Linked DNA regions of Ovis aries. The protein of the gene in region 1 interacts with the protein of each later gene in a pairwise test. Links are inferred from orthologs where the notes say so. Each region holds a gene or a part of one and is shown in the gene's direction. Other genes may lie near its edges. The genes, in order: ATXN1, PSMC3, TRIM38, RBFOX2, DNAJA3, FDPS and PEPD.

Evidence for each region.
Region 2: the proteins of ATXN1 (region 1) and PSMC3 interact in binary tests that used the Homo sapiens proteins (3 or more experiments, as listed by UniProt). The link is inferred for Ovis aries from reciprocal best matches to the Homo sapiens genes ATXN1 and PSMC3.
Region 3: the proteins of ATXN1 (region 1) and TRIM38 interact in binary tests that used the Homo sapiens proteins (3 or more experiments, as listed by UniProt). The link is inferred for Ovis aries from reciprocal best matches to the Homo sapiens genes ATXN1 and TRIM38.
Region 4: the proteins of ATXN1 (region 1) and RBFOX2 interact in binary tests that used the Homo sapiens proteins (3 or more experiments, as listed by UniProt). The link is inferred for Ovis aries from reciprocal best matches to the Homo sapiens genes ATXN1 and RBFOX2.
Region 5: the proteins of ATXN1 (region 1) and DNAJA3 interact in binary tests that used the Homo sapiens proteins (3 or more experiments, as listed by UniProt). The link is inferred for Ovis aries from reciprocal best matches to the Homo sapiens genes ATXN1 and DNAJA3.
Region 6: the proteins of ATXN1 (region 1) and FDPS interact in binary tests that used the Homo sapiens proteins (3 or more experiments, as listed by UniProt). The link is inferred for Ovis aries from reciprocal best matches to the Homo sapiens genes ATXN1 and FDPS.
Region 7: the proteins of ATXN1 (region 1) and PEPD interact in binary tests that used the Homo sapiens proteins (3 or more experiments, as listed by UniProt). The link is inferred for Ovis aries from reciprocal best matches to the Homo sapiens genes ATXN1 and PEPD.

Annotation. Positions count from the first base shown.
Region 1 is NC_056073.1:40,000,263-40,003,762, forward strand, and holds part of ATXN1 (ataxin-1), read left to right. Parts: coding exon 1-1,504; intron 1,505-3,500. UniProt on the Homo sapiens protein: Chromatin-binding factor that repress Notch signaling in the absence of Notch intracellular domain by acting as a CBF1 corepressor. Binds to the HEY promoter and might assist, along with NCOR2, RBPJ-mediated repression. Binds RNA in vitro.
Region 2 is NC_056068.1:76,180,656-76,184,724, reverse strand, and holds the start of PSMC3 (26S proteasome regulatory subunit 6A), read left to right. Parts: upstream 1-1,269; 5' UTR 1,270-1,464; coding exon 1,465-1,542; intron 1,543-1,797; coding exon 1,798-1,881; intron 1,882-2,506; coding exon 2,507-2,632; intron 2,633-3,177; coding exon 3,178-3,282; intron 3,283-3,387; coding exon 3,388-3,450; intron 3,451-3,690; coding exon 3,691-3,828; intron 3,829-4,069.
Region 3 is NC_056073.1:30,926,785-30,930,926, reverse strand, and holds the start of TRIM38 (E3 ubiquitin-protein ligase TRIM38), read left to right. Parts: upstream 1-1,342; 5' UTR 1,343-1,422; intron 1,423-1,547; 5' UTR 1,548-1,577; exon of another isoform or gene 1,578-1,582; intron 1,583-2,761; 5' UTR 2,762-2,906; coding exon 2,907-3,305; intron 3,306-4,142. UniProt on the Homo sapiens protein: E3 ubiquitin-protein and E3 SUMO-protein ligase that acts as a regulator of innate immunity. Acts as a negative regulator of type I interferon IFN-beta production by catalyzing 'Lys-48'-linked polyubiquitination of AZI2/NAP1, leading to its degradation.
Region 4 is NC_056056.1:179,532,036-179,535,535, reverse strand, and holds part of RBFOX2 (RNA binding protein fox-1 homolog 2), read left to right. Parts: intron 1-1,182; coding exon 1,183-1,236; intron 1,237-1,372; coding exon 1,373-1,467; intron 1,468-2,551; coding exon 2,552-2,694; intron 2,695-3,182; exon of another isoform or gene 3,183-3,288; intron 3,289-3,500. UniProt on the Homo sapiens protein: RNA-binding protein that regulates alternative splicing events by binding to 5'-UGCAUGU-3' elements. Prevents binding of U2AF2 to the 3'-splice site.
Region 5 is NC_056077.1:4,155,522-4,159,021, forward strand, and holds part of DNAJA3 (dnaJ homolog subfamily A member 3, mitochondrial), read left to right. Parts: intron 1-150; coding exon of another isoform or gene 151-158; intron 159-783; coding exon 784-867; intron 868-1,633; coding exon 1,634-1,834; intron 1,835-2,848; coding exon 2,849-3,001; intron 3,002-3,500. Other genes in the region: small ribosomal subunit protein uS10-like, read right to left, coding at 151-158. UniProt on the Homo sapiens protein: Modulates apoptotic signal transduction or effector structures within the mitochondrial matrix. Affect cytochrome C release from the mitochondria and caspase 3 activation, but not caspase 8 activation.
Region 6 is NC_056054.1:105,483,580-105,487,773, forward strand, and holds the start of FDPS (farnesyl pyrophosphate synthase), read left to right. Parts: upstream 1-1,394; 5' UTR 1,395-2,290; coding exon 2,291-2,472; intron 2,473-2,549; coding exon 2,550-2,712; intron 2,713-3,836; coding exon 3,837-3,977; intron 3,978-4,194. UniProt on the Homo sapiens protein: Key enzyme in isoprenoid biosynthesis which catalyzes the formation of farnesyl diphosphate (FPP), a precursor for several classes of essential metabolites including sterols, dolichols, carotenoids, and ubiquinones.
Region 7 is NC_056067.1:43,416,383-43,419,882, reverse strand, and holds part of PEPD (xaa-Pro dipeptidase), read left to right. Parts: intron 1-1,720; coding exon 1,721-1,904; intron 1,905-3,500. UniProt on the Homo sapiens protein: Dipeptidase that catalyzes the hydrolysis of dipeptides with a prolyl (Xaa-Pro) or hydroxyprolyl residue in the C-terminal position.

The DNA of each region.
Region 1 (3,500 bases):
CGGGCCCTACACCGGCTTCATCCCTTCCCAGCTGATCTCGCCCACGGCCAGCCCGGTCACCAGCGCGGTGGCCTCGGCGGTGGGCGCTGCCACGCCTGCCCAGCGCTCCCAGCTGGAGGCCTATAGCAGCCTGCTGGCCGACATGGGCGGGCTGAGCCGAGCCTCCGGACACAAGGCTGAGCCACCGCCACCGCCGCCACCGCCGCAGCACCTAGGCCGGACTGCGGGGCTCCTCCCCCCGGGGTCCCCACCGCCCCCCCAGCAGAGCCAGTACGTGCGCATCTCCAGCTCGCCACAGAACGCCGCACGCCCGGCCTCGCCGCCGACCCTCCCCGTCCACCTGCACACGCACCCGACCATGATCCCACACACACTCACCCTGGGGCCCTCCCCGCAGGTGGTCGTGCAGTACACCGACTCCGGCAGCCACTTTGTCACCCGCGAGGCCACCAAGAAGGCCGAGAGCAGCCGGCTGCAGCAGGCCATACAAGCCAAGGAGATGCTGAACGGGGAGGTGGAGAAGGGCCGCCGGTACGGGGCGCCCCCTGCGGCCGACCTGGGCCTGGTGAAGGCGGCCGGCAAGGCGGTGCCCCACCCCTACGAGTCCAGGCACGTGGTGGTCCACCCCGGCCCCGCCGACTACAGTGTCCGCGACGCGTCGGGGGTGCGGGCCTCCGTGATGGTCCTGCCCAACAGCAGCACCCCCGCCGCCGACCTCGAGGGGCAGCAGGTCACCCACCGGGAGAACTCACCGTCCGCCCTCAACGACAAGAGCGGCCTGCACTTGGGGAAGCCCGGGCACCGCTCCTACGCACTGTCCCCGCAGCAGGCGCTGGGCCCCGAAGGCGTGAAGGCCGTCGCCACGCTGTCCCCGCATACGGTCATCCAGACCACACATAGCGCCTCGGAGGCCCTCCCGGTCGGGCTGCCGGCCACGGCCTTCTACGCGGGCACGCAGCCGCCGGTCATCGGCTACCTGAGCGGCCAGCAGCAAGCGATCACCTACGCCGGCGGCCTGCCCCCGCACCTGGTCATCCCGGGCACCCAGCCCCTGCTCATCCCCGTGGGCAGCGCCGACCTGGAGGGGTCGGGCGCCGCCTCGGCCATCGTCACGTCGTCGCCCCAGTTTGCTGCAGTGCCTCACACGTTCGTCACCACCGCCCTGGCCAAGAGCGAGAACTTCGGCCCTGAAGCCCTGGTCAGCCAGGCCGCCTACCCGGCCATGGTGCAGGCCCAGATCCACTTGCCCGTGGCGCAGTCCGTGGCCTCCCCCGCCGCCGCCGCGCCCCCCACGCTGCCGCCCTACTTCATGAAAGGCTCCATCATCCAGTTGGCCAACGGGGAGCTGAAGAAAGTGGAGGACCTGAAGACAGAGGACTTCATCCAGAGCGCGGAGATCAGCACCGACCTGAAGATCGACTCCAGCACGGTGGAGAGGATCGCGGACAGCCACAGCCCCGGCGTCGCCGTGATCCAGTTTGCCGTTGGGGATCACCGAGCGCAGGTAACATTGTGGCCGCATCACGGGGGTAGGGGGACACCGCGCCGTGCCGCCGCCCTTACCTCCTGGCACCGTGACCTGTCTGCGGCTGTGGGAGTGATTGAGGGCTTTCTTTCACTTTCACTTTGTACGTAAAGGTTAGGCTTCTCACGTTCCTCCAACCACCATTCTCTAAGAGAATTAAGCCCTAATGCACCTGGAAGCATCCTCTGTTTGTAATGAATTAATTTCTCTGCTTCTCCAGTGGGGGCTGGTCAGGTACCATGCTTGGGACAGTTAAGAAAATCACCACTCGGGTTGTTTTGCTGATGTTGTCCTGTGGTTCGCATGAGTAACCCTGATTAAGAAAAGCCATTTTCCACCCCCACCCCAGGAAAAGACAGTGCTGCTTCAGGGGAGAATGTTAGTTGCCCAGAGTTGCCATATCCCATTACAACATCAGTGTTTTGTTACTGTTTTTATTTATTTATTTTGGCTGTGCTGGGTCTTAGTTGCAGCACTCAATCTGATCTTTAGTCGTGGCATGTGAACTCTTAGTTGCAGTGTGTGGGATCTAGCTCCCTGACCAGGGGGTCGAACTCAGGCCGCCTGTATCAGGAGCTTGGAGTCTTAGGCGCTGGACCACCAGGGAAGTCCCAACATCCATGTTTTAACATGTAGGTTTTGTTATCATTTAGGTATGGTGAGGCCAACAGAGGAGAATACATCTGGTTATACTCAGATCCCAAGGAGAGGGGATATGCCCGGCCACGTGGGCTGCCATGCGGAAGAAGGCCAGGGGCTGCTACAAGGCACTGGGAGCCAGGAGAATACATGAACAAGAGCCTTTGCTATCATTTCAGTGGGAAGGAGTGCGTGAGGCAAGGTAGCAAGCGTAGGTAGGCTAGTTGGAATCATTTCAGCAGGCTCTGGGTACAGGAGCTGTCCCTAGGTGTCTGATAGTGGCCCAGAGAGTGAAAGTCCCATTCACTGAGGAGGAAGCTGAGGTGTGGGTGTTTGCTTTACACGTGAAGAACAGTATCCCCAGCAGGGGAGCTGTTGGCTATGTCTAGGAATTAGCTAACACAGGGAGGGACGGTCCCTCCAGTGTCAGCAAGACCCCAAGATGTCAGAGCATCAGATACAGAGAATAAAAGGCATGGGTCATATAATCTGGAAGGTCAAGGCTGTCCCATGTGATCTCCTGGACTTCTGATAAATAGGAACCCCCAAGGGCCAGATGCAGCCAAGCTGAGTCATGTTAAAACTAGAACCGGGATCAGCTCTTAATTTCCATGAGTTCCTTCAGTCCACTCTTTTCCAGCTTCTTAAATCACTTGAATGCCTTGATTCCACCCATGTGTTATGGAAACAGTAGTTTCACTGCCCAGCTTGCTTGAAGTTAGGTTTGGCCCCAAGGCAGGGAACTTCCCAGGCTATAGAGCCTCAGTGCCTCTGGGAATGGCATATGATAGCACCTTCTTCAGTTTGAAATGAGTTGAAAAATGGTCATGGCGTAGCTGGTATTTGGGACAGTCAAAGATAAACAAACTAGTTAATGGTTTGAATTGTTCTTAGAATATTTTTTAAAAGATCAAGTGAGGTGGGGGAGTCTGATTTTCCAAAGCGTCTTCCAGGACTTCTTGTGAATGTCCGGATGTGGGATCTTGCGCAATATCAGAGGGCCTGCGTTGCCAGGAGCTTTTAGCCCCGAAGACTTTTCTTTTTAATGGTGAGATGTCGCTGTAAACTTTGGTGAGGCCCAAGAAAAATTTCTCAGGGTTCTGATGCAAGAAAACAAAAACAAAACAAAAATCAGGATATTTGGAAAAGGGCATCATTATGTAGAACTCCCTGCCCACATCTAAGTTTCTGTTCCCTCTCCGCGTCCTACGTGGATTAGGAGTGGATGGATCCTCATTGACAAAAGAATGAGCTGACTTACTAGCAAAGTTGTCTTTTAACAGACCCCAAGTGAAGCCTGGGAAATAAACAAGAAGAAAAAGTAAATTTTTTTTTT
Region 2 (4,069 bases), on another chromosome or scaffold:
AAAATCACTGCAGATGGTGACTGCAGCCATGAAATTAAAAGACACTTACTCCTTGGAAGAAAAGTTATGACCAACCTAGACAGCATATTAAAAAGCAGAGACATTACTTTGCCTAAAAAGGTCCGTCTAGTTAAGGCTATTGTTTTTCCAGTGGTCATGTATGGATGTGGGAGTTGGGCTGTGAAGAAAGCTGAGCACCAAAGTATTGATGCTTTTGAACTGTGGTGTTGGAGAAGACTCTTGAGAGTCCCTTGGACTGCAAGGAGATCCAACCAGTCCATTCTGACGGAGACAAGTCCTGGGTATTCATTGGAGGGACTGATGCTGAGGCTGAAACTCCAATACTTTGGCCACCTCATGTGAAGTGTTGACTCATTGGAAAAGACCCTGATGCTGGGAGGGATTAGGGGTAGGAGAAGGGGACAACAGAGGATGAGATGGCTGGATGGCATCACCAACTCGATGCACATGAGTTTGGGTGAACTCTGGGAGTTGGTGATGGACAGGGAGGCCTGACGTGCTGTGATGATTCATGGGGTTGCAAAGGGTCAGACACGACTGAGCAACTGAACTGAGGTTGGTCATAACTTTTCTTCTAAGGAGCAAGGTTAAGAACTGATATTGCAGTGTAAGTCCCAAGCCTGGATCCCTATTCTTGGGTTTCCCTTGTGGCTCTGTCAGTAAAGAATCCGCCTGCTGGGTGGGTAGACCTGGGCTTGATCCCTGGGTTGGGAAGATCCCCTGGAGGAGGAAATGGCAACTCACTCCAGTATTCTTGCCTGGAGAATCCCCATGGACGGAGGAGCCTGGCGGGCTGCAGTGCACGGTGTCATAAAGAGTCGGACATGATTGAGCGACTAAGCACAGCACCCAAGCCTGGAAGAAACCCAGCTCAAGACAGTCAGGAAGAAGGAGTTCCCTCTATCTCTGAGGGTATTCAGCCTTTTGGACCTATTCAGGCCTTGAACTGATTGGATGAGGCCCACTTATTTTGGGGAATCCCCTAATTCCTAACTAGGCCAATTCTGCAGTTGAAAGACCTACCCCCTCCACCCCGCCTCCTTCAAAAGCGCCCTATGACCCGCCTGATTAGGACTACATTTCCCAAGGGCCCCGGGGACACCGGGTCGTGTCTCCCTCCCCTTTCTGTTTCTTCTCCCCGCCAGGTCCCGCCCCTCTGGGCGTGCCAGCCAATGGCGCATCCTCCTCTCGGGGCGGCACTAACAGGACGAGGGCGGGAACGTTTCAGCAGCCGCGGGGGCGGGCCCTGTGGCCTGCGCTTCATCTTTTGAATCCGGGCAGCAGATTCGCCGCCGCAACGCGGCCCAAGCTAACTTTTTTCACGAGTCAGGACTCGTTGACGGAGTCTCACTAGTCAAGAGCAGACGTAAAGAGAGGCAATATTGTCATATTAATCTCTCCCCGCGGCTGCCGCGCGGTGCAGTCTTCAGGCTGCTCTCGCAGATGGTGAATCTGCTGCCGAAACTCGAGAGGCCGGTGACTCGGCAGGAGAAGATGGCGACCGTGTGGGACGAGGCTGAGGTGCGCGCTGGGGAAGCTGGCGGTTCTGGAGCCCGGGCCACGGGGAGACCCCGCTGGCGGGAGGGGAGGCGGTGGCTGCGGGGGTCAAGGTCGAGCCCGGTCCCGGGATTGGGGCCGCTTGGTATGCAGTCGCGACTCCGTTCTGGTTTTTTTTTTTTTGCGGATAGTGGGTTAATTGAGGCAAAGAGTTGGCTAACTCACAGTGCTGAGTTAACTGCCTTGAATTTAAGAAAAAAAATTTTATTTTTTTCACAGCAAGATGGAATCGGGGAGGAAGTTCTCAAGATGTCCACAGAAGAGATCATCCAGCGCACACGGCTGCTGGACAGTGAAATCAAGGTGGGCAGTGAAGCCCCTCTCCCTGCCCGCGTCCCCCCGCACACGGCAGGCCCTGGTGCTCTCACGTCGTCCCCAGCCTCCCTCCGAGAGTGTGGGGACCGCGGTTTCCTCCTCAGACCAGAAAAAGAGAAAACTAAGTTTTAAAAGGGAGGGGGAGAGGGCCGGGGTGGGAGAGCAGGCCTGAGAGAAGGAATTGGCTGACTGCTGTTCCCAGCTTGGTCTTTCCAGTATTCCTCTTGAGAGTCTGTCTTTTAAGAAACCCCCACTTTACAGATGAGCAAACTGAGGCTAAAAGAGGTGTTTTTGTTGTTGTTGTTTTGTGTTTTACTGTGGTGAGATATGGAGCCTGTAATGAAAGGCAGAACCTGAAGCCCGTGTGTGCTCAACTCAAAGTCTGGCTTTTTCCCTTTAGTACAACTGCTTACCCTGGAGGTTTCCCGACGGGCCTCCTGTTTCGACCTTTGCTGGTTGTGGACAGTCAGGCTGAGCATTCAGAGAGCCTTTGAGCTGAGTGAAGGGGTGCAGGAGGGTTCCTCTGGCCGCCTGGATAAGGTGCTCCAATTAAGTGGCCCTCAGATAAGCTGAGGTAAGGCTGAATATTTCCTTCCATTCACCCTCATCCCAGATCATGAAGAGTGAAGTGTTGCGAGTCACCCACGAACTCCAGGCCATGAAGGACAAGATCAAAGAGAACAGCGAGAAGATCAAAGTGAACAAGACCCTGCCGTACCTGGTCTCCAACGTCATCGAGGTGTGTGTGTATGTGGAGGGGAAGAGGGGTCAGTGGGGCTTGGAGGCAGCCTGCCATTGGGGAAAGGGTGGGTGGGCCTCTTGAGGCCTAAATTGCATGTAGGATCTAAACCTCTTAGGTTCTCCTCCCCACTGTAAGTTTTCAGGGGAATATACAGGCCTGAAAAGGCATTGGAAGCTTTGTGTTTCTTTTTCTACTGGGTATTTTTCCTCGGGGGATAGATGAGCTCTGTGCAGGGAAGCAGCACCTGAGCAGAGATCACACTAATCTTCCGATTTATTAACCGTACCTTTGCTGGGCTCGGGGCTAGGCTGAGGAGTGAGGTAGGGATGGTGAGCCCTGGGAGTGTTGAGGTTGTCTAGGCCCCAGAAGTGCTGGGCTCTGCAGAGTACAGGGGGGGCTGGGCTCAGGGCTAGGCTGAGGAGTGAGGTAGGGATGGTGAGCCCTGGGAGTGTTGAGGTTGTCTAGGCCCCAGAAGTGCTGGGCTCTGCAGAGTACAGGGGGGCTGAGCAAGGCCTCTCGATCTGAGCGTCTTCCTCTCCCAGCTCCTAGATGTTGATCCCAACGACCAAGAGGAAGATGGTGCAAACATCGATCTAGACTCCCAGAGGAAGGGCAAGTGTGCGGTCATCAAAACCTCCACACGGCAGGTGGGGCTGGCTCAAGAGGGGAGTGCCGAGGCTTGGGGGGTGGGACAGGACTCGGGGACCTGCCTGAGGGCAGCGACTGAGGCTGCACCTGGAATCCTTCTGCAGACCTATTTCCTGCCTGTGATTGGCTTGGTGGATGCCGAAAAGCTGAAGCCGGGAGACTTGGTGGTGAGTGGTGTCCCTGAGCCCAGGCGGGCCTTTTCCAGCCAGGTTTCTCCCACTGCTGAGCCGAGCCCCTGGCCCCGGCTTAGGTCACTGTGGGTCCTGAACGTTTGCAGAGCTGCCTGCCCTTTGACTCTTGTGTTGCCCAGTCCTGTGGCTCTCCTTTCACTCTGGACACCTGTCCCCCAGTCACTTAGGTAGGCCTTGCGCTGGGACAGAGCTGAGGCTTTCATGCTGTGTCCCCAGGGTGTGAACAAAGACTCCTATCTGATCCTGGAGACCCTGCCCACCGAGTACGACTCGCGGGTGAAGGCCATGGAGGTGGACGAGAGACCCACGGAGCAGTACAGTGACATCGGGGGCCTGGATAAGCAGATCCAGGAGGTGAGGGAGTCCCGGCGCCTCGGTGGCCCAGCGCTGCTCCTCCCGTGCCTCTTACCCTCGTAGCCTCTAGGGAGGCAGGGAAGTGGCCATGCAACAGTTTGGAAGACTGAGCTCTGGAGGGTTTGAACAACTTGCTCAGGATCTCAGACGGTTAGGGCCAGAGCCAGGACCGGAGCTCAGGCTCCGGTTCTTAGACCGTCCTTCTGCCCCGTCCTGCTGTTCTGGGAGTCCACCGCCAACC
Region 3 (4,142 bases), about 9.1 Mb from region 1:
TCTTGCCTGGAGAATTCCATGGACAGAGGAGCCTGATGGGCTACAGTCCACAGGTTCTCAAAGAGTAGGACACGACTGACGACTGAACGACTAACACGTCACACTTATGCAAACAGTAAGCATAAAAAGAATGGAGTGTCTATATTAATAAAAAATAGAGTTTAAGACAGAGAGCATTTCCAGAGATAAAGAGTACCGTTCTGTACTGATAAAAGGGTCCGTTTTTTCATCAAGAAAACGTAATCATAAATGTGTATGAGCTTAATGACAAGCCTTCAAAATACATGATGCAAAAATGGAAAGAATTAAAGGGAAAAATAAGCAATTCTATAATCCTAGTTGGAGATTTTAATACCTTTCTTTCAGTAGTGATATAATAACTAGATAAAACATCTAAAAAGTCACATAAGACTGAAAAACCCTATCTATCACCTTGAACAAATTGGTATTTAAAGAACATTATACTGAATTATACTGAATATCTGCATCCACATTCTTTTCAAGTACATATGGTTATAGTCATAATGATAGACATGTTCTAGGCCACTGTACAAGTCAATAAAGTTAGAGGAATTTAAATCAGATAGCATATGTTGTCTTGGGAATTCCCTGGCAGTCCAGCAGTTAGGATTCCAGTGCTTTCACTGCCAGGGCCTGGGTTCCAACCCTGGTCAGGGAACTAAGATCACATAAGCCCCCAATTTGTGGAAATTAAGCAACATGCTTCTAAATTAATCTACCATGTAAAAATCATAATAAAAATTATAATATATTTGAACTATAGAATAAGGCATATATAACTTTGTGAGAGGCAACTAAACAGTGCCTACAGGGAAATGTATAGCTTAAACTGTTTACATTAGAAAATAAAGATAGTCTAAAATCAAAGCCCAGATCCTGCAAAGGTGATATGTCTAAAAGAAGACACCTCCACTACCACCAATAAAACTGAGATCCCAAAGGGTGATAAAGGTGAACTAGAAGTAAACCCATTTCACCTCCTGGAAACTGAAAGAGCTCTGAGAACTCTGGTGCTGAGGAGGGTGCAAAGAAAAGAAAAAGAAAGAGAGTAATAGACCCTGGTAAGTTGTAACAAGAGGCCAATTTTTATACATATTCGGGATGAAATTTCATATCACTTGGGTTATCAAAACAAAATTATTAGTTTGTTCCTTCTTTTTATTGCTGTAAAAGAAAAATATTTTTCCTACCATCTTCCCTCCCTTTCAGTACAAGCTGAGTGCAAAAGATACGGGCCATTTCACCAGTTTCCTCCCCGGATCTTATAGGGCCCCGCCTTCTGAAGTAGTTTCACTTTTGTTTGTAGTTAACTTCCTCACCCAGACCTCAGGAACCAGCAGCTACGGAGCGAACTAGCGCGAGTATGTGACTGTCTGCTGTGTGGAGAAGGGAGTGGAAAAGGTCAGACCCATGTTTTCTCATGTTTTCTCCACGGAGGGATAGGAGATGTGTGTTGGAGGAGGGGATGGGGTAGCCGGGTCTTTGTTTCATGGCTCTCACACAGGGTCTGCTTTCTTTTTCGCCAGACTCCATGTTAAATCTCTGAAGTACAGAAGGTGAGGTGAGTGAAGGTCCAGGACAGGCGCCCTGGGGGCTCAGAGGAGGGGAGGTCCTCCTTCCCTAGGAGCACAGCACCAGTGGCAGAGAGGAGCCTAGTGTATCGCTTGGGGGAGATAACCTGCCAAAGAACAGAAATCTCCAGAAGAAATTCTCTTTGGATCCAAGAGACTGGTCCTGGTTATTAGAGGGACATAGCCTATCCAGTAACTTTAGTTGAATCCTTGCTTTTGATTCTGGCCCTGTCAGTTCAAAGGAAAGGCCACTCTCAACTTCCTTCATCCTCTGCTGCCCTCCCCGACAAACTCCCAGGAATGAGGAAGCAGGGAACTGAGCCAGGTTCCCAAAGCAGTCTAAGCTGTGGGTGAGAGGGTCGACTCCTTTGTCTATTGGTTGTCAGGTCCCTAGGGGTTAAGCCCTCAGGGTTGAGAGGCCCTGCTTTCCCATCTGCTTCTCACCTTCCCCTATCCTGGATTCTGCAAACTCCCTGTGTTCCAGTCACTCTGAACTTCTCCTGAGACACAGGTCCTGCTTGGAGAAGAGAGTCACCTCCCTAGCTGTCAAGGAGTTCTGCTCCCCTTCTCTTCCCAGCTCTTTTTTCCTCAGGTCAGGGAGCGGGGAAAAGAACTTGATTTCTTTACTTGTTCTTCTGGTTGTCTTTTTTGCTTTCATTATCATCCAGTTAGGTTTCCACTAGGGACTTTATTATGGTGTCTTTTGTTCTTTGTGGGGCAGGAGTGAGGGTTTAATTAGAGTCAAATTTGATTGTCTCAATCAAATCCTTAATAGACCACCCCTTTACCTAAGTGTTACTACCACTTACAAAGAAACAATTCTGGTACTAATTATTCTTGATGTTCATTAGAGGGAGAAAAACTTTAACAGTCCCTCACTGAGTTCTCTCTCTTGCTGCAGCTTTGGTTGAGGAAGTCAGCTTGGTTTCTCTCCCTCTCTCAGTGAAAACTTACAATGATGGAATGTTCTCCATCGGGGCTTTCATATAGCTACCAATCACCTGGAGCTATTAAGCAATTTAAATATGGCTAAGAGGTGCGAGAAATAGAATTTTAAATTCTATTTAATTGTAATTAAAGTGGCCACATGTAATAGTCATGACCATATTCCACAACACAGCTACATTCAATGCATCGTCTAAATTCCAACCTATTTCTTCTCTCTCTAGAGCAGACTCCATGACCTGTTGAAACCAGTGGCAACCAGTGCATTGCACAGAGACTCAGGAGAGGTAAAGTTCCATCACTGTGGGAAAATTCTGATTACTTCATCTCTGTGTCTAGATTCAATATTGGAGCTTTACAGGAGAAACCATGGCCTCAAAGAAGATGAGGGAGGAAGCCACCTGCTCCATCTGCCTGCACCTGATGACTAACGCAGTGAGCATCAGCTGTGGACACAGCTACTGCCACGCGTGCATAGTGAGCTTCTTTGAGAACCTCTACCAGATGCAACCATGGCTGAAGACATTCTCCTGTCCCCAGTGTCGAGCACCATTTAACATGGAGAGCCTCCGGCCCAACAAGCAGCTGGGAAATCTCATCGAAGTCATCAAGGAGATGGACCAGGAAATGTCATGTGAGGAACATGGAGAGAAGCTCCACCTGTTCTGTGAAGACGAGGGCCAGCTTATCTGCTGGCTCTGTGATCGTGGAGCCCAGCACAAAGGGCATGCCACAGCTCTGGTGGAAGAAGCATGCCAAGGCTACAGGGTGAGTGGTGGCCCACAGGGCTTCGGCAAGTACTTGGCCTCATATTGCCCCCTGAGACCTGAGATTCTTTGGCCTGAAACCCAAGATTAGGATCCTGAAATCCTATATCCTGTCATTCATCTGAAAAGTAGAATGATGGGTCCTCACTAAATCAAGTCCCAAAGGTTACTTTTGTCCCTATCCTTTCTGGCTCTGATGAACTCCTCCCTGCTTTAGAATGCCATGTGCACACCTGCATGTTTTATTGCTTCATACCATGTGTGTAATTTGAGAAACAACAATATGCAAGACCATGGGAAAGAGTCTGAAAACACAGGGGTCAAAGACACACCACCTTAGATGTCTTACAGTCTAATAGGAAAGACAAATCCGCAAACAGGCTGCCTGGAGTCCCCTGATTTGGATGGTGGAGCAGAGCCCTAAGGGGTGTGGAGTAGTAACTAAGGAATCTTCCCAAGAATGACTCTTGAAGAATACATAAAAATTAACCAAATATATTAATAGAAGTATGGAGAAGGGAGAGGACATTCCAGACAGAGGGGACCACATGTGCAAAAGCACAGCCATGGGAGCATACCTGACTTGCTATGACTAGGCCGGGGGGTATGCAGGGGAGGCAGGTGATGTTACGGGAATGAAAATCAGGTCTGCATCCTAGCCCAGAGTAGTCCTGGCCATGGGGGGATTTTCATTTGCAGAGTGAAAGATCGGGCTAACAATGAAAAGAACATTCTGGTACTGATACAATGAAAGGAATACTAAGTAGTAAAATTCAGATTATTCCTGTGAGAAGTGGAAAGAGATCAGTTCTAAGCCAGATTCAGGAAAGAGTGTGAG
Region 4 (3,500 bases), on another chromosome or scaffold:
TGCGTTGGAGAAGGAAATGGCAACCCACTCCAGTGTTCTTACCTGGAGAATTCCAGGGACTGGGGTGCCTGGTGGGCTGCCGTCTATGGGGTCGCACAGAGTCGGACACGACTGAAGCAGCTTAGCAGTGACACAATGTTACAATGTTATAAAAGAATTAAACCAAAGGGCCAATTTTTCAGAAAAGTAAAATGGCTTTATTTATTTATAAAAATTTTATAAAGTGATAAAATTCAAGAAATATTCATTAAGATTTTTCATGTAGAATGCTACTCTGTCAGTGGGCAATAGAACATTTCTCTCTCTTTTTTTTTAACCACTTACCATATTCCTATAAATATAAAAAAGGAAATGTAGAAATTAAAGTGACATCAAACATAATGTTGTTTAGAAATACTTAAAATGTTTACACTAATGTTCTGTAGTGGTCTTGTATTCTTTAGCTTAAAAGTCTGATTAATGTAAATATGCTTCTTATAAAATTAAAATTTCAGAAGACATGCACCAAAGTTAGGAACATACCTTGAATTTTATCATTGCATATCTCTCCTTGGTGACTTGGTTAAATAAATTCCAGTGAAATCTCAATGGGAAATCGCAATGAAAGATTTCCATTTACCCAGAATACCATTAGCATGCTATAAATGAACCTGGAGTTCAGAGGTCCAGGTCAGATTTTAATTCAGTCAAAGGATACTGTTTTATAATAAAACAGCTAGAGTAATAAACAATGTCAAGATGATATAGAAGACAGCGCATCACAGTGTGATACCAAATTACATATATTGTGCCTTTCTCCCTTCTTCTAAACAAGGACTAGGTCATTTAGCCGTTCTGTGAGAGACAGTGTACAAAACCCCCCGGATTTATTTGTATTTCTTTTTCCTTCTCTCATTCCCTCTCCATCTTCCTTCCTTCCTCCCTCCCAATTTTTTTCTCACCTCCTCTTTCCCCTGCTACCTCTCCCTCTGCCAAATCTTCATTATCCCTTCACTGTGCTAGTCCTGCTTAAAGAGGGTCAGGTCCAAAAATATCATCACCCTCTCATGTAAACACCCACCGGCATCCTAAAAAGAAGATGGTACCAGGCAAAAACGAATCCAGAGCATCTGAAGCCCTCCTTTACCTTCTGTTCCTCATGTAGTCTTAAACATTTGCTCACTGTCCTCTCTTCCATTTCAGGTTGGAAATTAAGCCCAGTAGTTGGAGCTGTATATGGCCCTGAGTTGTATGCAGGTAGTATTTAAGTTAATTTTTCCATTTGTGCTATTTACATATATATTTATTTATATGTATATATGAATCTATTATTTTTCACTTTCCTACTCCTTGGTAATCTTTTTGCACCTTTTCATTTCCTAAATACACTTAGCATCCAGCTTCCAAGCAGATGTGTCTCTAGGCAACGACGCAGCCGTGCCCCTGTCAGGAAGAGGGGGCATCAACACTTACATTCCTTTAATCAGTAAGTAGCCTATGTTGACCTGGCTTGGAGTTTGAGAGTTTGACTGTTGTGAGTAAACAGCGAGGTATTGGTCTTTTTGTACCCCCAAATACACGTAACTGAAAAGGAGGCATTCACGAGAGAGTTAAATACTGTCATTAATGCCCTGTCCTGTGCTAGAATCTTTTTGATCAAATGTTAAGATGGCCATAAAGCACAAATAGTCGGAAAAGGTAGAAGAGAATGAGGGCATGTAAAGAAAATTTTAGTTTTGCACTTTGGTAATGAAGCAAACAAAGAAGGGACTATTGGTAGAACATGTACATGCTATCTGCAAGTCAGCTCTGGGCCCTTGAGTAGAATACCACTCAAACACTGCTCCAGTTTTATTGATTATTCTCAGCTCTGTTGGTACCTCTAAAGTCATTTTGACCTGAGCTATTTAGCTCCAGCAAGAGATATAATTAAACAGAGTTCAGTGGATACGGAATCAATGTCCCTGCATGCTTTGCAGAGGATAGCACACTTAAAACAGGTCCTTAGAGAATGTCTGCCTCTTTACAGGACACAGGGCTGCAGAGGAGAGGCAGTTTCCTTCTCACCTCTCATTTCTGGATTGAAACATGTTAGATAAAGAGTAAGGTGGACTCATGACGTGTCTGAAGACTATTTAGTGTGCCTTGGAATGTGGTGGCATGTCAAAGCACAAAAGGATATGCTTATGAAAAATAATTATTTAAATTGATGTAATAACATCTGGAAATAAGATTAATAATCAGTCAGTGAAAGAGTTTATATCAAACTTAAACTGGCTGTAGAAATGAAAAGTCTCGTCTCCATTATGGCAGCAGTTCTCAAGTTTCTTGACCTGTTTCTCATCAGCTTGCATTGCAAGGCCAAAATTGGGAAGGAATAAAGAAAACTCATGATTTGTGATAAGTGAGGCATGGTGTCAATGAGTTATGGCATATCGCATATTTCCATTTCTTTTTGAGAAAAGTTGTGATGTGGAGGTACCTTTTCATCTCTCCTGTAATTGTTGTAAAGCAGGTTGTGATGTTACACGTGCTGCTGAATGCAAGTTGACATTTCTGTCATATTTTGGGTCTCCCTTTAGTTCCTGGCTTCCCTTACCCAACTGCAGCCACCACGGCGGCCGCTTTCAGAGGAGCCCACCTGAGGGGCAGAGGGCGGACGGTATATGGCGCAGTCCGAGCGGTACCTCCAGCAGCCATTCCCGCCTATCCAGGGTAAGCAGTAGATTCCCAAATAAGCAACTGGATAAAACCAGAATACCATGGCCCTCTTATAACTTCTGGGTTGTTGCCCTGCCGCATAGTAGAGACTCTTTGAATATTTGCAAATTAACAGATTAGATGGCAAGAACCATACCATTGTCAGAATGTAACAGAATATCAATGCATTATATAAATCTTCATCTTGGCCACCTTAAGCCCTCACAGTAGTGGCTTAAGACAGTAGCCAGAACTGTCTTGTGTTCACTAGCAGTGTGTTGGCATGGAGTTCACTCAGCATCGCACGAATTTGGATTAACACTCCTGCAGAGAACCAAACTAGGAGCTGAAGATTGTAGTGCAAGACTGCATCTGCTGGGCTCACCCCTCACCACCACCGTTGCTGGGGCTGAGGCTCTCACATGTGCCCTCCCTTGTGGTTTCACTGCCTGGGTGGTGAGCAGCAGAGCTAGTTACCCACAATGGATTTGCTTTCTTTGTAGGAGACGGATTAAAAGAGGTTAATTCAAAGATGAGCCAAGTCCAATTGAATCAAGGGAGAAAGGGAGAAGTAGGAAGAATTAAACTACAGTTGGCTTCTGAATGATGGTAAAACAACTAATGGAGCTGAGCATCCTTCACCTTTTGATTTTTGTATGGAGGGTGTCTCATGCAGTGGAATGATTCCATAGCAACAAATAAATCCTTTGTTACTGAATGGGGGAGAAGGAGTGAAGATGGCAGATTTTGATTTCCGTTGTTTCTCAAGGTCAGCCTACAATGTATATTTTTATATAAAAAGTGGACTTTTATAAGTTAGT
Region 5 (3,500 bases), on another chromosome or scaffold:
CCAGGAGGAAACCTTTGTGTTAGAGCTGCTCAGCTCTCCAGTGTACCCAGGACAGCCAAGTTAGGTTTGTGTTTGGATTTTTAATATTTTAATCTGTTGTTCTGAATTCAGAAAGTACAGAGGAGTGTGCAGTGAGAAGACCTCTCTTACCCATCCATCCCCTCCCCGCTGTAGCAATCAGCATTTCCAGCTTAGTGTCTGCTCTTCCAAAACTAATTTATACAGCAGATATATCTACTTATCTATCCAGTCATTTCCCTCTTTTTACACAGATGGTAGTCTAATCAGATTTACTCTTTGGCATCTCTCACAAAGGACCCCAAGTTCTTAAGAATTGTTATTTCTGTTGAGAGATTTGTTGCAGTTGAAAAACATATACACATCTCAGAGTTGAAGAGATAGTTTTCTTTCTTTCCCTTTCCCAAAACTCACTTTGCTGTTTTGTAATAAACTTTTGATCAGAATTGAAAACTGAACACAGTTCATGGAGTGTATGTTCTTAATTCTGGCTGTGTGTGTTTTGCTTTTAGGTTGTGTTTATTGAGGTGTAGTTGACATTAGTATCAGGTGTACAATATAATGATTCAGCATTTGTATACACTATGAAATGATCGTCATCATAAGTCTAGTTAGAGATGATTTAGTCTTAAATCTTGTTTTAAGAATTGCTGTCAGTTGTGAAGTCTGACAACTGCTGCAAAGGAGGTGAGCTGTGACTGGTGTCTGGGGTTCAGTTTTAGTGATCATCTTGTGTCCATACTAATTGACCATTTCCTCCCTTAGCTTGCCAAGAAATATCACCCAGACACGAATAAGGATGATCCCAAAGCCAAGGAGAAGTTCTCCCAGCTGGCAGAGGCCTATGAGGTAACGCGGCCCCCCAGTGTGTGCAGTCCCTGTCATTCGGCTGTGTGCGTGGGTCAGAGCGTGCTGCACTGGAAGCCTGATGCATGAGAAGGTTCAGTGGGAAGGCCGTGTCCCCCTCCAGACCACCTTGTTGAAGAGGGAAAAAAAAAAATTTGTAGGTCCAAAATGCTCACATGAGATCTCACTAGGGATCTCAACAAAGAACAGAACCCAGTAATCTGTATTCCCAGTCCCAGTCACTGGGACTTTAGCTGGGTCTGGGACCTTCTTGTCAGATTAACCAGTTCCTTGCCTGTTTGGTGACCTCCCCCTCGGAGGGCTGGTGGGATGGTGGATGTTGTAAAAGCAGAAACCACCACTGCCCTGGAGGAGTGTCGAATGTCATCTGAGAGCAGAGGGTGTGAAACAGCAGCTGAATAAGGGCAGAGTTACATGAGTGTGGACCTCCTTCTCAGACTCAGCCGTGCTGAAGGGGTTGGGGGTGTGTAGGGTGTCGTATATCTGCTGTGTGTGTGTGTCCATGCACATGTGTGTGCATCCCCCGCCCTGCCCCTGACCGTTTGAGGGTAAGTCACAGATGTGTTCTGTCTCTTCCTAAGTGCTTCTGTGTGTGTTCTCTAAGGGCAGGCTGTTCACATAGCCGCGGTACAGTTGACAGGATCAAGACGTTTAATGTCGATAGGCCGCCACCACTGTCTGTACTTGGTGTCCGTGCCCTGGGCCCCAGGAGCCTCGGGGGCACTAACTGCTGGGCTTTTCTCGGCAGGTCCTGAGCGATGAAGTGAAGAGGAAGCAGTACGACACCTACGGCTCCGCTGGCTTCGACCCCGGGGCCGGCAGCTCTGGGCAGAGCTACTGGAAAGGAGGTCCCACAGTTGACCCAGAGGAGCTCTTCAGGAAGATCTTTGGGGAGTTCTCATCCTCCTCTTTTGGTGATTTCCAGAGTGTGTTCAATCAGCCTCAGGAGGTAAGCCCCTCATTTTGAAGAATTGTTCAAATTTCAGCGGCTAAGTGTGACACAAACAGATTTTTTACCAGTTTCTCTTTCTCAAAGAAAAAAGATAAAGTAGCTTAAATGGGGTGATTGGGAGGCAGCCATCTTTGTAGCAGGTAGTTCCAGTATTTGAAAAACCATTAATAATGTGTACATTCAGTTCTCCTGTATTCTTACAGTTGCTTAATCAGGGCAGCCCCGTGGCTCTGAGAGTCCATAGTTAGAGTAGTTAGTTTATGTAGAGCCCGTCTCATTATTCTAGGAGACTCGGTCCATAGGGAGGCACTGCCAGTCCTGCTTCTTCCATGTTTATGTCTTGTTTCAGGCATTATCAGAAGAGAACCCAAGGGTGGGGGGAAGCGTTTTACAATGTAAGTTATGATTGTGGATCATTTGAACTGTTAGGACCACGTGCTAATATTATTTGTGAACATTTTCAGCTTGTTGAAAAGCCCATTTTCCTTCACACAACAGGTATCTGTTGAAAATCGTGAGGAGTAGAGCAGAATCAGTTGAGTCCCATCTGTTCTTGACTTGACAGAGTACAAGTTATAAAGTAAAAAGTGGCTAGGGGAACAGATGAATTGGTGGAGCCATGAATAAGATTTTTAGGACAGTGAAAATACTTTGCATGATTCTATGAGGAAGCTGTGTGTGTATTATACACTTGTTCAGACCCATAGAATAGCCAGTACCAGGAGTGAACCCTAATGTAAACTGTGGGCTCTGGTCATGCTGTGTCAATGTAGGTTCATCCTTGATTAAAAAAAAATGTATCATTCTGGTGAGTGATGTTGATTACATGGTAGGCAGGCTGTGCACGTGTGGGGGCAAAGGTATAAGAGAAATCTCTACCTCCCTCTCAGTTTTTTAAACTTAAAACTGCTTTAAAAAATAGAGTCTTTAAAAGAAACAGAAACTGTAAACTCTCAGCCAGCGCTCTCCCTTACTTTCAGAGCAATAACAGTGGTCCCTTGATTTCTCTAGTACATCATGGAGTTGACGTTCAATCAAGCTGCCAAGGGCGTCAACAAGGAGTTCACCGTGAACATCACTGACACCTGTGAGCGGTGTGATGGCAAAGGGAACGAGCCAGGCACCAAAGTTCAGCACTGCCACTACTGCGGTGGCTCCGGCATGGTGAGCCTGGTGGGCCCGCCTCCCCCTGGGGCTCCTGTCTCTGCCGCCTCCCTGTGCTTCCCCACCATTCCTCTTCTCTGTGTGCCAGTGTACCTAGGGCTTTGAGAGCTCTTTAATAGGTGGGACTCTGTGATCTAGAACCTTCCACATTGTCCCAGGAGTGCTCTGTACAGAAGGAGCAAGGAAATTCTGCTGTCTCCTCTGAAAATACGTTTTGGAGTATGTTGGTAATTTAAAATTGGGGGAGGGGAACTTAAATTTTGCTTGAAGTATAATCTTTTTTTCTTTTTCTTTTTGGTAAGTTTTAGATATAATTGAAACTTGTAAGACTAGTATAAATAACCACTCCCTTATTCCTTTTACCAAGCCTCAACAGTTGTTAACATTTTATCCCATTTGGTTTGTCATTTATAGTGTATATTTTCTAAGAGCAAGAACGGTCTTTTATGTAACTACAGTATGTTCTCAAAATCAAGAAACTTAATGTCCAAACAATTCT
Region 6 (4,194 bases), on another chromosome or scaffold:
GGGGGTGTGTATGTGTAAGGGGTGTGTGTGTGTAAGGTGTGTATGTGTGTTTAAGGGGTGTGTGTGTTACCCATGATATGTGGGTAAACTTGTATGTGTGTGGTACCTATGGTGGCTGGTAAAACGTGTGTGTGTGTGTGTGTGAAGGGTATGTGTGTGTACAGGGTGTATGTATATGGGGGATGTGTGTGTTACCCAAGGTGGGTGGGTGAACTGTGTGTGTGTGTGTGTGAAGGGTATGTGTGTGTAAGGAGTGTGTGTGTACAGGGTGTATGTATATGGGGTGTGTGTGTGTACCCATGGTGGGTGAACTGTGTGTGTGTTACCCATGGTGGGTGGGTAAGCGGTGTGTGTAAGGGGTGTGTGTGTGTAAGGTGTGTATGTGTGTTTAAGGGGTGTGTGTGTACAGGGTGTGTGTGTGTGTTACCCATGATGTGTGGGTAAACTTGTATGTATGTGGTACCCATGGTTGCTGGTAAAAGGTGTGTGTGTGTGTGTGGCTGAAGGGTACGTGTGTGTAAGAAGTGTGTGTGTACAGGGTGTATGTATATGGGGGTGTGTGTGTTACCCATGGTGGGTGTGTAAACTTTGTGTGTGTGTGTTACCCATGGTGGGTGGGTAAACTGTGTGTGTGTTTGTGTTACCCATGGTGGGTGGGTAAACTGTGTGTGTGTGTGTGTTACCCATGGTGGGTGGGTGAACTGTGTGTGTGTGTGTTATTCATGGTGGGTGGGTAAACTGTAAGTGTGTATGTGTGTGTGTTATCCACGGTGGGTGGGTACACTGTGTGTGTGTACCTGTGTGTAGGGATAACGGTTCTGGTTTCTCCTTGAGTCTTCGCTTTGTTGAGCACTTAAAGCACTTTATATACTTTATATCACGGTGTTATCCTTTCAAAGAAGTCAACTGAGGCTCAGAAGTTACACGACTGGCCCAAGTTAGACAACCAGTTAAGTAGCCATGATGGCCCCCCTGGGGTTTTAGTAACGTGCCACTCAACTGCACAGGAAAATAATGACAATTTGAGTAGTAAACAACGACTGTTGAGAGCCTGAGTTCAAGGAATTCCAAACCTGTTCGACTCCCTGCAACTTCACCCCATCTTCCGCCCACTCCAGCCCTGTTAGCTTCAGGTCCCGGGGGTCAGCCCTTCCATTGGCTATTGGCTACAGGGCCTCATGCTCATACGAGGGGAAGTAGCCAATCAATGTGGCTCGTCCCCGCCCAGCCAGCCCGCGCTAGATCGCGTAATCGTTGCCCCTCCTGTGGCATTTCGGGAATTGTAGTCCAGTGAAGCATTGCTGCCTGCAGTGAAAGGAGATCGAGAACTACTAGATCCAGCGACCCGAGCGCCGCGCGGTCCAGCTTTTAGGAGTACCCCTCCAACAATCAGGATCTGCAACCAGCATCCAGGAACAGGTGAGAGAGGTCGAGGGCTGGGACCGGAGGCAGGGGCTAGAAACTCGGTCTTAACTCTGTAGCGCAACTTCAAGGCACAGGAGGTCCAGTCTGTTGCGTCGGTGTTCCCCCGTTTTGGGAGTTGGTGGGACGGACTAGCTGACACCGTGGATGTGCAGAAACTCCCGAACTCTGCCATGTGCTTTCCTGGAATCCCAGTATAACTGCACCCTGCTTTGCTCTTCCGCTGCGAACCCTACTCACCCACCCACCCAGTGTTGCTCCGAGGCTGTCAGCACAGTCCTGGCTCTGTGAGGTCCAGTCCCAGAGCCCCAGACTACATGTCCATAGTACCCAGGGGTTCTGCGTTCACGCCTCAAAGCCTGCGCTCCCCTCTCCCTGCCTACCAAGGGAGACTTGGGTTCTAGATTTGGCGCTGCCATTCCCCGGGTACCTCCTACCTCCTAGAGCCTCAGTTTGGCCTCTATAAAAGAGGGTGATTTAAAGATCCTCCCAGCCCCCGGTCCTGAGGTCCTTTACTCTGGATTCTTCAGTCTGTGCTCCAGAATTTGGAGGAAGCAAGCAAGAGTATAGCAATTCCAGAGGCTCCTTTGTGGAGGCGTTGACGGTTTCTCAGCCGGGTAAAGTTACATGGCTTTGAGTCCTAGCCTTCTTATTTTAAGTATGATCAGCTGAGTCTTGGTTACCCAGCCGTACTTTTTGTTCCCTGAGTTTCTTTAAGTGCCCTCCAGCTTAGCCCAGAAGAGAGTGGGGCATTCTGGGTACAGAGGTGGAAGGTTGGAGGGTGACTTGGGGAGCTGACAGCGTGCATCTGCCTCTGGTGCTTGCCCCTGCAGGGAGTGCTCAATGCCCCCTCTCTGTGCCACCCCCCATGCTGCCCCTGTCCCGCTGGCTGAGATCTGTGGGGGTCTTATTGCTGCCAGCCCCGTGCTGGGTGCCCCGGGACAGGTTGCTGGGTCCCCTACGGCGACCCACCCTGGGGCACGGGTGCCCAGTCCTGGGGGCCTGGCACAGTGCCCGCTGCTGGCGGCAAGCGTGGACAGAGGAGCCTCGGTGAGTCTGGCAGGGGTGAGGGGCCTTGGGGAGGGGAGCAGCTGATTAGGTTTCTGACTTGTCCTCCCTCTTGTCAGAGCATTTTACTCCTCCCTCAGAATGAATGGAGACCAGAAATCGGACGCGTTCGCCCAAGAAAGGCAGGATTTCATCCAGCACTTCTCCCAGATTGTCAAGGTGCTGACTGAGGAGGACATTGGGCACCCAGAGACAGGAGATGCCATTACCCGACTCAAGGAGGTGAGGGATTTACAACTCGAGAGGGTGAACCTTTGCAATCTCTGCACATGCGTGGGGTCTCTCTATGGCTCTGGGGTGACTTTTGATAGGTGTGGGAACAGACTTTTATCTGAGAGACTCTGGGTTCATTCTGGAGGGGTCGGAGCCTGGGCAGGTCCAATCAGTCCAGCTTTGTGGTTCTGGTAGGCCAGACATACTGCTTTGCATAGGGGTGGATCGCCCTGGGGGTGAAGGCTTTGATCTGGGTAAGTGTTTGATTTTGTTAAGACAGGGAATTAGGTGTCCAGAAATCATAAGGGGCTATCTTGGCAGGGACCTGGGAGGAAGGGAGGAAGCAGTCTGAAGTGGGGCTGAGTAAAGGTAGTGTTCCATCAGAAACCCCTCCTCTAGGGCAGGAACTATTTGTTGAGATACCTACGTTGCCTGATTCTTTTGGAATATCTAGTGATTCTTTTTGTAATGCCGTCTCATTTGTCTGAGGGAAACTAAGGAAAAGGAAGTCTGTACTTGGATGGAGATTAAAAAGGGAAGTCTTCCCAGTGAATTGCATCTGGTTGATAACAGGGCAGCAGAAGGCAAAATGAGAAGCCCCAGCAGGAGGCAATGCCACTGAAGGAGTAGCGGATGGTCCCCCAGCCTGAGTCCCCTCCAAGCTGTCCTCTGGCTAACCTGGGGAGGAGGGCGCTTGTCTGAGTTAAGTGAGAGGCTTTTTATTGCAGATAGGCTGAACCGTGGAGGGGGGTCGCAGAGGAGGTGGCTGAGAAGGGAGGAATGGGGGTGGGAGAGACCTGAGCTAGCCGCTCTCTTGGCATGCACAAGAGTTTTCCCCGGGTTCAAGCCCTGTCTGGGTTTGGGAGCAGATCTTAATCTCCAGTATGGAGCCTTTCAGTGTTCTGAAGAAGACAACGCAGAGAGAGCCTGGGGACTGGGGAACTTCCTGCTCTGCCCCACGACTTGGAAGAAGCCAGGAGCATAGTAGTTCAGGGGCTGCCTGGAGGAGGGGTTGGGATTGAGGAGGATAAAGTTAGGTTCCCTGGTCTCCGGTGGGAGAAAACAAGGAGAAATCTCAGAATAGCTGCTCCGCAGACCCTGATGCCTTCCTTGTCCCTCTGCTATTCCCCCAGGTCCTGGAGTACAATGCCATCGGAGGCAAGTACAATCGGGGTTTGACGGTGGTGGTAACGTTCCGGAAGCTTGTGGAGCCCGGGAAACAAGATCCTGACAGTCTCCAGCGGGCCCTGACTGTGGGCTGGTGTGTGGAACTGGTGAGAAGGGTGGGGAGCAGCAGGCAAAGACGAGGTTTACTAGAGTGGGGGTGCCCTGGGTGGGATGGGGTGGGACGGGAGGGAAGGGATGGGCCTGAAACTCGGCTTCTCGGTTGTGTTTCTGTGCATCTAGTGTGCTGTGGCCAGACTTAGTGACGAGGGGTTAACAGATGTGGGGAGGCCCTTGTACCAGAAGGTGCGTGTTTCACCTGTACTC
Region 7 (3,500 bases), on another chromosome or scaffold:
CAGACCCAGCTCTCTGGGCTTGTGGGGTTTCCGTTCTAGGAGACGGAGGTGGACTTTGCCTGTGAGCACCGTCTCTCACTGCAGCCCCAGGCAGTGCCCCCTCTCTCTGGGCTGTCCCTGCCCTCCTGGACCTCCGCTGGCCAGAGAGCCTGCAGGGCCTCCCTCCACACAGGTCACATGTCCCTGCCTAACTCCTGCCCCCTGGCCCCGACCTTGCTGGCCGCCAGCCCACTCGCTGGGACTGCCCTTCCTCCATTTAGTCATTCACACAGCGCTGTTTTGGGCTTCCCAGGTGACGCCAGTGATAAAAAAAAAAAACCCACCTGCCAATGCAGGAGATGTAACAGACCTGGGCTCGATCCCTGGGTGTGGAAGATCCCCTGGAGGAGGGCATGGCAACCCTTCTCCAGTATTCTTGCTTGGAGAATCCCATGGACAGAGGAGCCCGGTGGGCTACAGTCCACGGGGTCGCAAAGAGTCGGACACGACTGAGGTGACTCAGCACGCATGCAGCACTGTTTTAGGGGCCTGGAAGGAGGCGGTCCCCACCCTCATGGAGCTTACATCTTACCCGGGGAGACAACCAGCAAGTAAACATATACTGTTAGACAGTGATGCGTGCTCTGGAGAGGTGGGAAGAGAGCAGTGGATAGGTTTGGGTGGGGTTGTTGGAAAAGCTTCGGGGAAGAGGGGGTATTTCTGCAGAGGCCTGGATGAAGTGAGAGCATGAACCTGGTCAGCACTGGGAGAGGGTGTTCCTTACGGGGAACAGAGGTCCCAGGTGGGAGGGTTCTTGGGGTTTAGGGAAGAGTATGATGCCTGTGTGGCCCACCTCAGCACCTTGTGGCTGGAAGTCTGCACTGGGGTGGCCAGACATGGGGAACGACTCTCCAGAGGATTTTGTTGGACAGAGAGAGAAGTAGATGCTGGTGGGTGTGGGGGTCAAGGGGCGTGTTTTTACCTATTTTAAAGATGGGTGAGGTTCCTGTGCATCTGAATGCTGAGAATGGTCCCCAGAGGGGAAAATTGATGCTGGAGCAATTCAGGGGATTGGGAGGGTGGGGAGAAACATGAGGGGTAGCGCAGGTTACGCCCAGGTGGAGGGGACACCTCAGCCCAAAGGCCGCAACTTCCAGGTCCACCTGGTCATGGTTCTCCCTCAGTCATTTGGCACATACAGGCCTGGTTCGGCTCAGTGCCTGGTGCTGAGTGCAGCACGTGTGTGTGTGTGTGTGTTTGTGTTGAGGACAGGAGAGTGTCCCAGCTCAGGTGAGAAACAGCCCGGGCTGCCGGGTCTGTGACCTACAGAGAAGATGCAGCCTGCAGACACGTGGGCAGGGCTCTAGTGTCGTCTGGGCCAAATCTCACATGGATGGGAAGCTCCTTGAGGGCAGGAACTGGAGGGTAGGGGATGTGTCTGGGCACCGTTATAGCATTGCCCTCTGTGGGCTCATCTGTCTACTGGTTAAACAGACCCAGCTGCCCCTCATCCCGCTTGTCTGGCGCTCAGGGCCAGGAGGGGAGGGTGTGGTTGACAGCGCCTGTGGTCCACCAGCAGCCTGGCCAGGAGCTGTTTCCGGGTCACACGCAGGTTGAGCTTGGATCAGCCTGCTGCGTACTAATGGGGGTCCGGTGCCAGGCTGGGCCCTGCAGCCGCCCCGGACTGTGCATAGGGCACGTGCCTGGTGGTGCCAACAGAAGCCTGCTCATGTCTTTGCAGACCCTCATTTTGGCTGGGGAACGAAACTCTGAAGGTGCCGCTGGCACTCTTCGCACTGAACAGGCAGCGCTTGTGTGAGCGGCTGCGGAAGAACCCAGCGGTGCAGGCGGGCTCTGTGGTGGTGCTGCAGGGCGGCGAGGAGACGCAGCGCTACTGCACCGACACCGGGGTGCTCTTCCGTCAGGTGAGCCCTGCTGGCAGCTTCCCGCCTCTCTGGGCGTGCACTGGGCCTCCTGTGGGCCTTCTGTCCTCCTCCAGCATCAGGCCCGGTGGGTCTGGGCAACTCTGCCCTCCTGAGGGACTCGGAGGTGATTCTCTGAAGGCAGGCCAAGGCTGAGGTCCCCAAGGGGGCCCCCACTCGAGAGGGCAGAGCTGTCACCAGTCAGCCTCAGCTCTTTCAGATCAGAGTACAGGGGGATGATGTTCCTGGGGAACAAGCAGGCAAGGCTTCCTGGAGGAGGCAGTATCGGGTGTGGATCCTGAAGGTCAGCATGCATTCTGACAGGTGGAGCTAGGGTTGGGTGTTCTAGGTGGGGGAATGGTATCCACAGGATTGGACCCCAGAGGTGGGGCTGGGCAGCCTTCCCTGGGCCGGGAGAGGTGCTGATGGGGAGGGCTGAGTTCCTGCTACCAGATTTTCCCACAGCAAGAATGGACTGGCGCTGCAGAGGTCCTGGGAGGAGGAGGCGTGGGAGCAGGGTCTTAGCAGGAGTCCAGCGCCCCGGCATTCATCCCAGCTTTGCCAGTGCTGATGCCTTGGGTTTGGTTTCCGCCCCTGGGAAGCGATCCAGGGGCTCCGCAAGGTTCTAGAGCCCTGGGGGATGGCTGTGGGGGCCAAGCTGTAGAAAGCCAGCCTGGACGTGATGGCCTCTGGCATCACTCAGTTCCTGGGGACAGGAACAGGACAGTCATCAGAGGCTCACCCAGGGGGCCCTAGGCTGGCCCAACTTTACAGATGAGGAAACAGACTCAGAAGGAAATGCCAGAGGGGGAGCTGGGATTAATTAGAACCCATCTGCTGACTCCAAGTCTCCCAGAGCAGGGGTCTGACGCACTGGGAACTCCCTGGCGCCAGGCAAGGCCTAGAGGACATGTCGAGCATCCAGGTCAGGGAGCAAGCAGGGGAATGGGAAGGGAGCTGAGCATGGAGAGCGGGCAGCAAGGCGTGGCCTCCGCAGCTAGACAGTGTCCACCCTGCGGGGCACAGGCCTGGATCCACTGCTGGGAGCTATGGCGCACACAGCATCTTCCATGGGAAGTGTCTCCTACTGGAGGGCTTCCCTCAGCCTCTTCATTCCTGTCGTCCCCGGGTCGCTGGAGATGTGGAGGTCTAAATAAGTTTTCTCTGCCTCGTCCTGATGCTTCCTGAGGTTTCCATAGTCTGCGGTTTAAAAACCAATCTCCTAAATTCAGCTGTTGGCTCCCTTACTGATGTTTTATGCAAGATTAATTTTAGAAGAGCGCCTCCTCCACTTCATACCTTTACAACGATATTTTAGCTCCGTGTTTAATGCTAAACACTGGAGTCATCAGCTGCCCCGGGGGTGGGAGAAGGAAGGAAGAAGTCTTAAATGGAGGAATCCGCTTCTAAGCAGATGCCTGGCCTGGGCGTCTTAAGTCAAGGTGGCACCTTGCCTGCCTGCAGGCAGTGGGGGTGGCAGAGAGGTGGGGAGGGACGGGGATGCGGGTAGGGCGTTGCCAGATCTGTGATGCTCGTGGGCACCCGTGTCTTAACCTGTCCCGTCTGGGACCTGAGGGATGTGGCAGGGGAGGTGGGGGT